Sus scrofa: one gene and its partner. The protein of the gene in region 1 interacts with the protein of each later gene in a biochemical or structural test. Links are inferred from orthologs where the notes say so. Each region holds a gene or a part of one and is shown on either strand. Other genes may lie near its edges.

The links.
Region 2: the proteins of NBR1 (region 1) and MAP1LC3C form a complex in vitro, tested with the Homo sapiens proteins (2 studies listed by IntAct). The link is inferred for Sus scrofa from reciprocal best matches to the Homo sapiens genes NBR1 and MAP1LC3C.

What each region holds. Positions count from the first base shown.
Region 1 is NC_010454.4:19,755,838-19,762,875, reverse strand, and holds part of NBR1 (next to BRCA1 gene 1 protein), read left to right. Parts: intron 1-331; coding exon 332-426; intron 427-1,097; coding exon 1,098-1,155; intron 1,156-2,553; coding exon 2,554-2,662; intron 2,663-5,353; coding exon 5,354-5,527; 3' UTR 5,528-7,038. UniProt on the Homo sapiens protein: Ubiquitin-binding autophagy adapter that participates in different processes including host defense or intracellular homeostasis.
Region 2 is NC_010452.4:15,367,793-15,375,529, reverse strand, and holds the start of MAP1LC3C (microtubule-associated proteins 1A/1B light chain 3C), read right to left. Parts: upstream 4,349-7,737; 5' UTR 3,841-4,348; intron 2,904-3,840; exon of another isoform or gene 2,588-2,903; 5' UTR 2,564-2,587; coding exon 2,506-2,563; intron 2,396-2,505; coding exon 2,340-2,395; intron 1,904-2,339; coding exon 1,797-1,903; intron 1-1,796.

The DNA of each region.
Region 1 (7,038 bases):
TCTCTCTGTGTCATTGCTCTCTTTCAGCATGGAAAATGGTGGAGCCTTGACTATAATTTAAACCATTCTCCCAAAGGAACTAGGCATTTCCCTTTCTTGGCACCACTTGATGTAAGGGGGGAGTGGGCCAGACTGAAGCTAGCCTTTATGGTTTGACAGTGGCTGAAGAGGAGAACGAGAAGTGAAATGAGCCCTGTTCAGACAAGAGACCTGGATCAGAGCCTGAGGAGCCGCTCTAAAGAATTTGGCACTGCTGTGCTGTGTTTACTGTTTTTCCACCGTTACCATAGGTACCTTGTCAACTAACTCTCAATTTGTGTCTTTCTGCAAGGATTCCTCCCTGTGCACAGCCTCATGGTTCCCCAGGAGTGGAGTTACCTGTCAGCATACCAGAAGTTTCTTCAGTCTCTGACCAGATCAGAGGAGGTAATGACCAACCTGAGCTTTTGCTTTTTCTACGCTCCTTTCTAGTTGGAACCAGGTATAAAGAGGCTTTCTATCTTTAAGATTCTTGACAGTTTTTAGAAACTTGCCCTTTGACTCTTTCTTTCCTCATACTCACTTTTTCTGTCCTCTACCTTAATATTTATCAAACGAGACCTCATAGAGGTCGGCATTGTGCTATAATAGTGGAAAGGACACAGGCTGTGGAGCCAGAGCAGTAGGTTCCAGCCCCAGCTCCACCTTTTCTCACTGTGTGACCTTGCAGCAGTTCAGCAGGCTTATAACACCTGAAGGTGTTTCCTTGTCTACAAAATAAGAGGAATAACCCCTTGGAGTTACAAGTAGATCCTCGGAGTCATTTCCCATTCCTCCTCAGAAAACAAAACCCAGAAGTACTTGAGAACTAGCAAACCAGTGTGATAGTATTATAGAATTCATTTGCTGATTCAATAAATAGTTTGCATTCCGGACAGTTTCCCTTATCACTTAAACACCTGCAAAATTTCCGAAATATTAAAAAAAAAAAAAAAAAGAAACAAAACTGTAAACACTGTGATCAGATGCCACCTGCCTTAAAAATAGCCTTGCTGTGAGGTAGGAAACACCAAGCATTTATGGATGCTGCATCTAACCAACAGCTCTTTTGCTTTTAGAGCTCAGAGGCTCATCAGGACTTGTAAACAGCAGACAGAAGAGCTATGACCACTCAAGGTAACTGGACCTTGTGCAGCCTCTTCTTCAGAAGCAGGTGGATATCCTAGTATTGCTTCTGCTTAAACGAGCTTCTCAGAGCATGTGCCGTCTCCCAAGAGCAGAGAAGGACAGCCATCATTCCTTCTTGTTCTTATTTCTTCTGAAGCTTGTGAGCAGCACTAAACAGAGGGCTAGTGATGTTTAAGAGTCTTCAGAGGGAGTTCCATCATGGCTCAGCAGAAACAAATCTGACTAGCATCCACGAGGATGCAGGTTCAATCCCTGCCCTTGCTCAGTGGGTTAAGGATCCGGCATTGCCTTGAGCTGTGGTGTAGGTCGCAGATGGGGCTCGGATCCTACATTCCTGTGGCTGTGGCTTAGGACGGCAACTACAGCTCTCATTCAGCCCCTAGCCTGGGAACCTCAATATGCCTCTGGTGCAGCCTTAAAAGACAAAAGACCGAAAAATAAAAATGAAAAAAATAAGTCTTCAGGGAGTTCCCATTGTGGCTCATAGGTTAAGAACCTGACTAGTTTCCATGAAGACATGGGTTTGATCCCTGGTCTCAGTGGGTTAAGGATCCGGTGGTGCCGTGAGCTGTTGTGTGGGTCACAGACATGGCTCAGATTCTGCATTACTGCGGCTGTGGTATAGGCCAGCAGCTACAGCTCCTGGTCAACCCCTAGCCTGGGAACTTCCATATACCATGGGTGTAGCCCTTAAAAAAAAAATCTTCAAATTCCAGGAGTTCCCTCCTGGCTCAGTGGGTTAAAGACCCAGAGTTGTCACTGCTTTGGCTCTGATTACAGCTGTGGCATGGGTTTGATCCCTGGCCCAGAAACTTCTGCATGACATTGCCCACCCCCCCCCAAAAAAAGAGAGTCTTCAAATTCCAGACCAGGAAGAATTGCGCTCAGATTCAGTTCATGCTTAGTACCAGGAAGAGAGTGGGAAGGGCAAGCCCACTGTGTATTTGTGTAACTTTTTAATAGACAAACCTGTGTCTCTGTTCCCAGTCATCTCAGAGCAGTGTCAGGGCAGGCTCCTCCCTACCTACAATGTTCAGAAGATCACATTTCTTTTGGGCGATGTTTCCTCTGAAATAATTGAGCAGACAGACTGTCAGTACCTCATTAATTGACCACATTAATTCTCAGCTGGGGCTGAAAGCTGGCATGCTAACTGGAGTGCTGTGTTTTCTGCAGTGCCCATATCTAGTAGCAGTAGAGCTGTGCCCTATATCAAACCCAGATTTGTAGCTGTAATACTGATACAGAAATAACCACATTATCTTTTTACATCTGATTTTTTTCCCTCAAGGAAATTTTTTCTTTCCAGGGTTAGAGCCCAAATTATCTTATAGGAAGATAATGGTTTGTGTTTCCTTAGGAAGATAATTTGGTTTTTCTCCACAGGCACCACCACCATGGGAACAGCATTGCTGGAGGACTGATGAAGGGGGCTTTGTCTGTTGCTGCCTCCGCATACAAGGCCTTGTTTGCTGGGCCACCAGTCACTGCACAGGTCAGTGTATGTTTTATTTTCCTGAACCAAATCCAAGTCACCAGGGAAAACGATGGCATCTCTCTGTGTTGGAGAGAGTAGTGTTGCATCACGGAAAACATGAGCTTTAAGGTTTTGTGTTTTTTTGTTTTTTTTTTTTTTTTTGGCCACACAAAATTATGGCTAAAATTTTAAAAAGTGTATTTATTTTCTTTTGCCACACCCATGGCATATGGAAGTTCCCCAGGCCAGGAATGGAATCTGAGCCGCAGCTGTGACCTGCGCCCCAGTGGGAATTCCTAAGTTTAATCTTTGGTTAACACACAACTCTGCCACCTTCCAGCTGCATGACATTGGCTATATTACTTAAAGGAGGAAAGAAAAAAGACCTGATGTTTTAAGGCCAGTGGGAAGCCACTGAAGTGTTTTAGAAAAGTAATTAACATAATCAGATTTGTCCTTAGTAGGATCACTCCACTCCACCATAGTGTAGAGGCTGGAGGAGCCGAAAAGAAATCCATTTGGGAATCCCAAGTGTAGGTCAAAGAAATAAAGGGATGGAGATGATTAAGTGGCTAGAAAGAAGTCAGGGATAAAAGTTTCTGGCTTAGGTTTGGCCTGGAAATAAAGTCATGTGTGTACAGGTTATAGCAGGAGCCATGTGATTAGATATGATTTTCCAGGAAGAATGGGTAAAGCTAGAAGCAGCCTCTAAAGATCATGGAAAGAAGAAGGGCCCTGCAGAGAGGACTGGGATTTAGAGGAAAATGAAGGAGGGGGTTCTGTGCTGGAGCTTAGGGAAGGGAGTTTTAATGAGGAGGACATAGCCAGCAGCATGAGATCCTGCAGAGAAGTGTGAAGGGATAGAGAGGACTTTGAGAGTACAAGTCTGTCTCATTTTTATTTTTTTATTTTTATTTTTCTGTCTTTTTAGGGCTGCACTTGTGGCATATGGAAGTTCCCAGGCTAGGGGTCCAATTGGAGCTGTAGCCACTGGCCTACAGCCACAGCAACACAGGATCCGAGCCGCATCTGCAACCTACACCACAGCTCATGGCAACGCCAGATCCTTAACCCACTGAGCAAGGCCAGGGATCGAACCCCCATCCTTATGAATGCTAATCAGATTCACTAACCACTGAGCCACAACAGGATCTTCAAGTCTGTCTCACTTTTTTTCTTTTTTTTTTTTTTTTTTTTTTTTTGTCTTTTTGCTATTTCTTGGGCCGCTCCCGCGGCATATGGAGGTTCCCAGGCTAGGGGTCCAATCGGAGCTGTAGCCACCAGCCTATGCCAGAGCCACAGCAACGCAGGATCCAAGCCGCGTCTGCAACCTACACCACAGCTCACGGCAACACCGGATCGTTAACCCACTGAGCAAGGGCAGGGATCGAACCCACAACCTCATGGTTCCTAGTCAGATTCGTTAACCACTGCGCCACGACGGGAACTCCTGTCTCACTTTTAAATAGCTGGACTGTATGAAGGGAAAAAGAGAGCAAACACTGAGACATGTGAGGCAGAGGGAGACTGTTTTTTAAAGATGCGTGAGCCAGTCAGTAGCAAAGAAGGTTAATAATCAGAATGAGATAGGAATAATTAATAGAACATTAGTATTTATGAATAATCAATGGGAAAATATTTCTGAGGTGGTGGGAGGTAATGAGATACAAAGCAAAGTACACGTGGAAGGAGTGCCCTTTGTGGCTCAGTGGTAACGAACCCAACTAGTATCCATGAGGATGTGGGTTCAGTCCCTGGTCTCACTCAGTGAGTTAAGGATCCAGCATTGCCATGAGCTGTGGTGTAGGTCACAGTCGTGGCTCCGGTCCTGGGTTGCTATTGCTGTGCAGCAACCAGGCCAGCAGCTACAGCTCTGATTTGACCCCTAGCCTGGGAACTTCCATATGTCGTGGGTGCGGCCCTAAAAAGACAAAAAAGAAAGTGCATGTGGAAGGATTAACTTGGAAAGGAAGATGGATAATTTATTCTGAAGTAAGAGGGAAGAAGGGAACAGTGGAAGAGGGCAGTACCAGAGGCGGTGCTCAACACATTGGCATACTTTCTCTTCTTCATGGGCTCAACAACCCTGCAAAATTAAGTATTCTGTGTCTTCATTTTCATTAAGAAAATTGGTGCTCAACACAGTTGGTAAGTAAATGGTAAGAGGGTGTTTTAAGTGTTAGGAGGATTAAAGGAGACTATGTGTTCACCACAGGGCTTGGCCCAAAGAAGGAGGTAAATAAATATTCTATTATTTAAAAGAAAAAAAAAAAAAAAAGCCAAGAAGGTGCCCAGGATATAGTTTCCCACAGTTTTTTGTCCAGCTCCTCTGCATATCTGACTAAATTGCCCATCCTTTTCTTCCAGGATCAGTCTCTTCTCTTGCTTCTGCTTGCCCCATCATGATGATTACCTTTTTCTTCACAGGTTTTTCCAGAGTTTGTTTGCATCTTTCCCTTTATCTGGCCTCATTCAAAGGGCAGTTCATTAGTCACCTAGTTTGGGGTACTTTGGGTACTTCCCAGTTCTTCCCATCCCCTCGGAAATCCCATTATCATCGGGTGAACAGAAGTGCCATAGCCTTGTACCTAATTACCTAGTATTTTGAACACCTCTGGAAAGATCAGTGTGACTTAAGATAATAAGAATTTATAAGATAAACGCAAATTATACAGAAAATGTTGTTCTGCTTTTCTTGACTCTACACAGCCAATAGTTTCTGAAGATCAGACAGCAGCCCTGATGGCCCATCTCTTTGAAATGGGATTCTGTGACAGGCAGCTGAACCTAAGGCTGCTGAAGAAACACAACTACAACATCCTACAGGTTGTGACAGAACTCCTTCAGGTCAACAACAACGACTGGTACAGCCACCGCTACTGAGGAGTGACCTTGTATTAAATTACTTTGCCTGCTGCTCAGAGATGATCTTTATTCTGTTGTTGGGGTGTAGGGGAGAGGCCCTTGCTTATTTTTAATCTAATGAATCTACATAGAGCCCATCATTGAACTATCAAGACAAAACCTGCACTGCAGTATTTTTTTGGAGCAAATCAAAGACCAGAACTTAAAGTTTCACTTTAGACATTGGATGAATTGTATGAAGAGCGTTTTTCAGTTGATTTGGATAAAACTCCTTTCTCCGTTTTAGCACACTGAAGAGTATAACTTAAACTTCCTATAGAACCATTTTTCTTTCTGCTTGTATTGAAGTTGAGTATTTTTCTTTGCTTAAGGTGGATGTTTTTATGAGGATATCTGTTGTCAGTTTTTAAAAGAAATTAACCTTGGAAGTCGTTTTCAAGAATTATTCTCATAATCTCTCAAACCTATCCCAAGCCTCATAGCTAGGTGGTATTAAAATGACACCCAGAGTGTGATAGGAATTTTGTTACTCTTCCCTTCTCAAGGAGAAAGTCATTTCCCTGAAAGCCTTAGTAACTGGCACTGTTGTTTTTTAAAGACCCCACTGATGGCATTTAAGAATATCCACCTTCTGGGTCTCTTCAGTGACAGGAGGGAGGAGTATGCTAATTAACCCACCAGCACCTGTTGAGCAGTGTCTATTGTAGTAATTTTGCATACATTTTATTTTATTTAAGGGAAAAAAAATTAGGTAGTGTGAAATATTTTGCTAATCCTATAAAAAAAAACTCCTCTATTAAAAGGAAGAGTAAATTTAACAGTTACCTTTTATGTCAGGGGGCAGGTCTTATTTACAGTAGGGGCGGGTGGGGGTGATAGATACATGAGACGTGAAAGGCAGGCTCCTGTGTGATTCTCAGTAAAGTTCAGGGGCAGGCAAATGAGTATGTGTGAGGCCTAGGAAGTCCTGATGGCTTCTTGAATGTTTGAAATCTGCTCAAAGTTATCTAGCCCCAGAGTGCCTAGAAGAGGAAAAAGAGGCTGGTGTTTCACAAAACTTGGATGGGGGTGAGCTTGCTAAAAAAGTTTTGGCTTAATCCCAGGGTAAGTGAGTGGGAAGGAGCTTGTTTACTAAAAGGGGTCCAGATCCTCACTCTGTTTGCAGAAGAGGGCCTTGGGTACAGTTGGTAAAGCGGTAAAATACACTAAATATTTTATTCATTAAAGTTACTTGCAGAAAAAGAAGAACCTGACCCCCAGCGGAAGGGAGGAGGATAGTTTAAAAAAAAAAATAGTATTATTTAACCTGGTTGGTATTATAATGAATGGTGGTTTAAGTTAATCATTAGCCATAATGTTTATTTACAGTATAAGGCTTGAATGCTATTAAGTCAGTCAGGATTCAGACTGCAAGCCAACCAGGCTGTTTATTATTTAAACCGTTTACGGCTTCTGGGTCGAGGCAGAGCGGCAGGGTGTGAAGCGGGAGGGTTAATTTGGGATGGGACCTGTCTTGACCATCTGAGTCG
Region 2 (7,737 bases), on another chromosome or scaffold:
GAATGCAGAGTGTCCTAAGAGAGCTTATTTCATTTTATTTGAGTCTTTTTAGGGCCACGCCCGAGGCATATGGAGGTTCCCAGGCTAGGGGTTGAGTTGGAGCTACAGCTTCTGGCCTACACCACAGCCACAGCTATGCTGGGATCTAAGCCACATCTGTGACCTACACCACAGCTCACGGCAACTCCATATCCTTACTCCACTGAGCGAGGCCAGGGATCGAACCCATGTCCTCATGGATACTACTCAGGTTCATTACCTCTGAGCCACAATGGGAACTCCCAAAGCTCATGGTTTGTTTTTGCCTTTTTGTTTTGTTTTTATTGTCTTTTTGCCTTTTCTAGGGCTGCTCCCTCAACCTATGGAGGTTCCCAGGCTAGGGGTCTAATCTGAGCTGTAGCCACCAGCCTACGCCAGAGCCACAGCAATGTGGGATCCAAGCTGAGTATGTGACCTACACCACAGCTTATGGCAACACCGGATCCTTAACCTGCTGAGCAAGGCCAGGGATCGAACCCAAAACGTCAAGGTTCCTAGTTGGATTTGTTAACCACTGAGCCACGACAGACACTCCCCCAAAGCTCATTTTAAAAATCACAATAAATGCTCTCAAAAAACTGTCTGCATCAGCCAAAAAATTTGAGAGGTTGTTTCCAGCACAGGGAGACTCACCACCTAAGCCATATTTGTGGAGCCCTAAGTAAGTTATTTTTTAGTTTCTTTTTTTTTTTTTTTTTTTTTTTTTTTTTTTTAGAGTTCAGATAGCAGGTGACAACTTCAATCCCTTAAGCTTTATTTTTATTTTCTTTTTTGTTTTTTAGGGCCACACCCACAGTATATGGAAGGTCCCAGGCTAGGGGTTGAATCAGAGTTACAGCTGCCAGCCTACACCACAGCCACAGCAACGTGGGATCTGAGCCGCGTCTGCGACCTACACTGCAGTTCATGGCAATGCCAGATCCTTAAGCCACTGAGTGAGGCCAGGGATCGAACCTGCATCCTCATGGTTGCTAGTCGGATTTGTTTCCGCTGCATCTTTTAAGTCAGCAGCGTTTCCTTTACTTGGCCTCCCCTCGTTTGGAACAGGGGAAGCGGGATGTGGGGAGGGGCTGGTTCTCCCGCTCAGTGATTCCAGCAGGTGGACAGCACACTCCTCCCCCCAGTTCCCTCCCTGCCACAAAGGGGGAACCATTTAGAGGTACAAAGCTGTCATTGGGCTTTTAAAATAGCTGAAAACAGAGGCCTTTGGATCAGGTTCCAAAGATTCCTTTGAAAAATTCTTGGAGAAATTTAAGATACAAACGAAAACAAAGTACCAGCAAAATGTTGAAACAAAAGAAAAAATAGCCAGTGTATCAACATTGGGGGTTCTCGCTTCTTACAAGGTTGTAGCAAAGTACTTTCCTTCTTTTTAAGACTGCTTACTCATGAAATCATCCCTTTTTATTTTTCTTTTTAAGGCTGCACCTGCGACACATGGAAGTTCCCAGGCTAGGTGTCAAATCAGAGCTGCAGCTGCTGGCCTACGCCACAGCCATAGCAACGCCAGACCCTTAACCCACTGAATGAGGCCAGGGTTCAAACCTGCAACCTCATGGACACTAGTCAGGTTCTTAACCCTCTGAGCCACAACGGGAACTCAACATCATCCTTTTAAAAGGCAGAGTTGAAGAGAAAAGGTGAAACCCACATCCTTCCCTGTCTCTCTGCTGTAGCCCATCTCCCGTTGTTCCAAGAAGCCCAGGGCCACAGGGCGCACCTCCACCCCCGGCCCCTGCATGCACTTTGTTACCTACCGGATGATGCTGAGGAACTGGGTCATGGTCAGCTCCTGGGGGACCAGGAACTTGGTCTTGTCCAGCAGGGGCAGGAATTTCTCCCTGGGGTAGCGCTCCACTATCACCTGTCAAGAGTTTCAACCTGAATCTCTCCCGAAGCAAATGCCCAAGAATGTGCCTCAGTCTCCGTGTCTTAGAAACTTGGAATAGAGAGAAGGGGGTCACTGCCTGGGTTTGGTCTTGTCTTTTTTTTCTTTTGATTTTTAGGGCTGCACTTGAAGCATATGGAAGTTCCCAGGCTAGGGGTCCAGTCGGAGCTGCAGCTGCTGGCCTACACCACAGCCATAGCCACATGGGATCCAAGACTCGTCTACAACCTACACCACAGCTCACGGCAATGCGGCATCCCTGGGCCACTGAGTGAGGCCAGGGGTCGAACCCACATCCTCATGGTTACCAGCTGGGCTCGTGATTGCTGAGCCACAACAGCAGCTCCGGGTTTTGTTTTCTCAAAGAAGGGGACATCACAGGCCCGGCTGAGGAGCCACAGTGGAGTCTTACCGGGATCTTGCCAGGGAACTTCATCCGGATTCCAGCCACTTCCTCTCTTCTGGTTGCTGTGAACACGTAAGATGAAATGAACATATCAGCCTGGAGCAGAAGTCCGTGTCCTCGTCTTTCCCTGTCTCGAGGGCCCAAACCCAGACAAATACTCTGAGAACTTTACCTAAGCTCTTCCTCTGCTTGAAGGGTCTGAGGCTTGGGCTTTTCTGGGGAGTCTGCATTTTGCTCAACAGCTGTGTCTGTGTCTGAATTGAAAAAAAAGAAAAAAAAAAAGAGTACCTAACTCATTCCTCCAGCTGTTTCCAAACTGCCTGCGGGAGCCCAAAGGACGCTTTTATGTGGGACTGTGTGACATCAGCCTTCTCCAGCCCTCCCCTCCTGGGCAGGAGGGGGTCATTTTTCAGAATGGAAATGAAACAGCCACCTGCTTGCTGGTTAGAGAAAGTCACTTTGCTCACTACCGTTTAAAATGTTGTCTTTGCTAAAGAAATTGAGATTTACAATGTAGGGAGTTTCCGTTGTGGCTCAGTGGTAACAAACCCGAACTAACATCCATGAGGACACAGATTCAACCCCTGGCCCCGCTCAGCGGGTTAAGGATCCTGAGTTGTCGTGAGCTGTGGTGTAGGTGGCAGACAAGGCTCAGATCTCATGTTGCTGTGGCTGTGGTGTAGGCTGGCAGCTACAACTCCAATTCAACCCCCAGCCTGGGAACCTCAGGTGCAGCCCTAAAAAGCAAGAGAAAGAAAGAATATTCCAGAAAGGCTGAGTAACTTGTCCAGATAAAGAGGTAAAATTAGGGTTAAAATCTAGGTGTGGGAGTTCCAGTTGTGGTGCAGCAGAAACAAATCCGACTAGAAACCATAAGGTTGCGGGTTCTATCCCTGGCCTCCCTCAGTGGGTTAAGGATCTGGCGTTGCCGTGAGCTGTGGTGTAGGTCGCAGATGCTGCTCGGATCTGGTGTTGCTGTGGCTGTGGTGTAGGCTGGCAGCTATAGCTCCAATTAGACCCCTAACCTGGGAACCTCCATATGCCAAAGATGCAGCCCTAAAAAGGACAAAAAAAAAAAAAAAATCTAGGCATGTATCAAAGTAGTGTTATACTCTGCAGCTTTCCAGCATATTTTGGTCATTTTTTACAGGTCTAGGAATGTGGGTAGAACACTTTTTATCAAACTCAGGATATTTCTGTATTTCTTTATTGTCTTTTTAGGGCCGAACCCACGGCATATAGAGGTTCCCAGATGCTAGGGGTCAAATCGGAGCTACAGCTGCCAGCCTACACCACAGCTCACAGCAATGCCAGATCCGAGCAGTGTCTGTGACCTACACCACAGCTCTCGGCAACGCCAGATCCTTAACCCACTGAGGGAGGCCAGGGATGGAACCTGCATCCTCATGCATGCTAGTCCGATTCGCTTCCACTGAGCCATGAGGGGAACGCCTTAATGACGGTTTTAGTGACCCCGTTTCCCACTTGATGCCAAGCACCTCCTTACCTCACACCCAGGAGCTCGGCGGTCCCTCCGTGTTATTCAGATCCATCACGTCCTGAGAATAAAAAGGACCATTTGCTTCTGCTCGATTGTCTCTGGAGGTACCATGACCTTTACTGGTCATCCCTGGCTCCCTTCTATGCAGGACACTGAGAAGTCTTCAGCGTAGTGATGATGACACAGGGGAAGGTGACCAAACATTCTCCAGTTTGCTGAGGGACAGAAAGAAAAGCAGTAGTTTACTCTGTTTTTTACACAACTAGTGAAAAATCTTCCCTATTAAAAAAAAAAACTTGCCTTTACCCCTGCCTACGAAGCTAGGACAATAGTTGCCGAGTTCACCCTGAGGCTTTGAGTCTGCAGGGAGGAGCATGAACTTGGCCTCAGTAGTTAGATTGGTTTCTTAGAAGACCTTTAGCTCCTAGGGCCACACCTCCATGGATGAGGTCCATCTTTGATGCTGAGGCTCAGTGGAGAAGGTTGGGGCGCTGACCTGAGGTGCTAGAATGCAGTGGGGGCCTCACAACTTTCCACAGGTCATGATGGCCCTGGGACCCCTTCCTCTTCCCTTTTTTGACCTCCTCTCCTTCCTTCCTGTCTCTACCCATTATCATGTGACCAATTTCTTGAGCTCTGGGCTTCGAGATATACATATATTTATGTATTTTGCTTTCTAGGGCTGTACCTGCAGCATACGGAGGTTCCTAAGCAGGGTGCGAATCGGATCTACAGCCCCTGGCCTACGCCACAGCCACAGCAATGCCAGATCCGAGCCATGTCTGCGACCTACACCACAGCTCATGGCAACGCCGGATCCTTAACCCATTGAGCAAGGCTGAGGATCGAACCCAACTCCTCATGGATACTAGTTGGGTTCTTAACTTGCTGAGCCACAAGGGGCACTTCCTCAAAATTTCTTTTTTATTGCTCAAGAAGAAAGAATCCTACATATTTCATATTAACTTTGTGATATTTTCCTTTCGTGGCTATTTATATTTTGAAAAAAAAAAGTAATCATTACTACCATTTAATTGTTCTGTAGTGAGGACAGGCTATGCTATGCTGCAATAAGAAATACACCCTTGGAGTTCCTGTCGTGGCGCAGTGGTTAATGAATCTGACTAGGAACCATGAGGTTGCAGGTTCGGTCCCTGCCCTTGCTCAGTGGGTTAATGATCCGGCGTTGCCGTGAGCTGTGGTGTAGGTTGCAGACGCGGCTGTGGCTCTGGCGTAGGCCGGCGGCTACAGCTCCGATTCGACCCCTAGCCTGGGAACCTCCATATGCTGTGGGAGCGGCCCAAGAAATAGCAAAAAAGACAAAAAAAAAAAAAAAAAAAAAAGAAATATACCCTTAAATGTAACAGCTACACATAAAGAGTTTGACTTTCATCCACATCGCAGTCCAGTACATGTAGGAGGCTCCCTGTTTGGCTCTGTTCCAGGAGAAATTTAAGGGCATTCTCTGCTTTACACCTGCAGGTTCTGTCACCTCAAAGGCCTTCATTTCCACCAGCTCAGATGGGAAAACAGGTGGAAAAGATACACTTACACTTGGCTTTCTCAGACTTAAAGTGGCACCTTTGAGGGTTCACCCACCTTCCACAGAGGAAAATGAATCACATGATCCTACCTAGAGAGGGGTCTCTATCATTAGCACTCATTTTCCCACCACAATGATTATATTCCAAGCAACTGCTATGTTCTTTATTGATTTTACTTTTTTTCCTCTTTTTAGGGCCATGCCTACAGCATACGGAAGTGCCCAGGCTAGGGGTCGAATTGGAGCTGCAGCTGCCAACCAACCTCACAGCCACAGCAATGCAGGATCTGAGCCATGTCTGCAACTGACAGCACAGTTCATGGCTACACGAGATCCTTAACCCACTGAACAAGGCCAAGGATCGAACCCCCAACCTCGTGGATACTGATGTACCACAATGTTCATCATGTACCCACTGAGCCACAATGGGAACTCCACAATTTCACATTTTAATGTTATCCAAAAAGTGTGCTCTGGGACTTAAACCACATGGAGCTGGACTCTGAATCTACCACCTACTAGCCTTGTGACATTGTGCCAATTGATACCTCTCTCTGTTACCTTGTATATAAAAGCAAAAATAACGCATACCTTGTGAAACTGGGAGCATCAAATGAATTAGTTAACATATGTAAACAGATCTAGAATAATGGCTCGCACATACAACTCAGTAAGCAAAAGTTCCAAGGCGGAGGGGGAGGGAGTGGGATGGACTGGGAATTGGGTTAATAGATGCAAACCATTGCCTTTGGAATGGATAAACAATGAGATCCTGCTGTAGAGCACTGGGAATTATATCTAGTTACTTGTGATGAAGCAGGATGTAGGATAATATGAGAAAAAGAATGTATATATGTATGTGTGACTGGGTCACCTTGCTATACAGTAGAAAATTGGCAGAACACTGTAAACCAGCTATAATGGGAAAAAATAAAAATCATTTAAAAAACATAAGCAGGAGGTCCCGTCGTGGAGCAGTGGTTAACGAATCCAACTAAGAACCATGAGGTTGCTCAGTGGGTTAAGGATGTGGCGTTGCCATGAGCTGTGGTATGGTTGCAGAAATAGGCTGGGATCTGGTGTGGCTATGGCTCTGGCATAGGCCGGCGGCTACGGCTCCAATTAGACCCCTAGCCTGGGAACCTCCATATGCTGAGGGTACGGCCCTAAAAAGACAAAAGACAAAAAAGAAAAAAAACAACCATAAGTGAAAGTTATTGTTTTCACCGTTCTGTTGATGAAGAGCCTGAGGATCAGAGGGGTAACCCAGAGTCTATGAAAAAGACAAGGTCAGTCTGGACAACAGACTTGGCTTATTGACATCAGAAATGTCTTCATCATCAATATTATCCTTCACTGGAATAGGGAGGAAGCACATTTATTGTATTTGACACTGTGCTAATCACGACCTACATTTTTTTCTCAATTATTTCTTCGGAAAAAGAGAACTGAAGCTCAGAGCACAAAATAACATGCACAGCTGGGGGGATTTGAGCCACAGCAAAACTATGCTTGTAATGTGGTTTTGAGTTTTATATTAAAAATTTGGGGGTAGGAGATCTTGTGGTCTTAGGGAAATATTTTCTGAAACATTCCTCCAGCAGTCTCTTCATCCCAGCCCTACTTAAATGGCCAGACTCTCTGTTCCCTCAGTGTGGAGACCTTCAGAGTTCAGATCAAAATGAAGACTGTACCCTCCACCCTTGTGAAAACTCTTTCTTCCCTATTCCCTAAACACCATCACAGGGGGTCACTTTACATTTTTTTTAGGGCTGCATCCAAGGCATATGGAAGTTCCCAGACACTAGGGGTCGAATCAGAGCTACAGCTGCTGGCCTACACCACAGCAACAGCAACACAGGATTCAAGCCATATCTCCAACCTACCCCACAGCTCACGGCAATGCCAGATCCTTGACCCACTGAGCCAGGCTAGGGATCGAATCTGCAACCTCATGGTTCCTGCTTGGATTCGCTGCCACTGCACCACGATGGGAACTCCACAGGTGGTCTCTGTAGACATCTAAAGATGGCATCCTGGAATAAAGGTGAGCAGGCTGCCTCCAGGTCCTCTGGATGTCAGGGCAAATGATTTAAGGTCATGCCTCACAGCCCCCAAATCCACTGTCAATCCTCAGTCTCCTTCCATGAGTTAATTGCAGGTGTTTGGGTCTTCTGAAAAAAAAAAAAAAAGCTGTTTCGACATCAAAGCATCCTGTAGACAAGGAAAGTGGAAAGGAAAAAAAAATAAGCCAGTCTGGAAAACAATTAGGAAACCAGGTTGGGAAGGTGGGGCTCAGTGGGATCAGCTACAGAGGGAGGCTCACGCTCATTTTTCTAAGACCCTAGGCAAATTCTTGC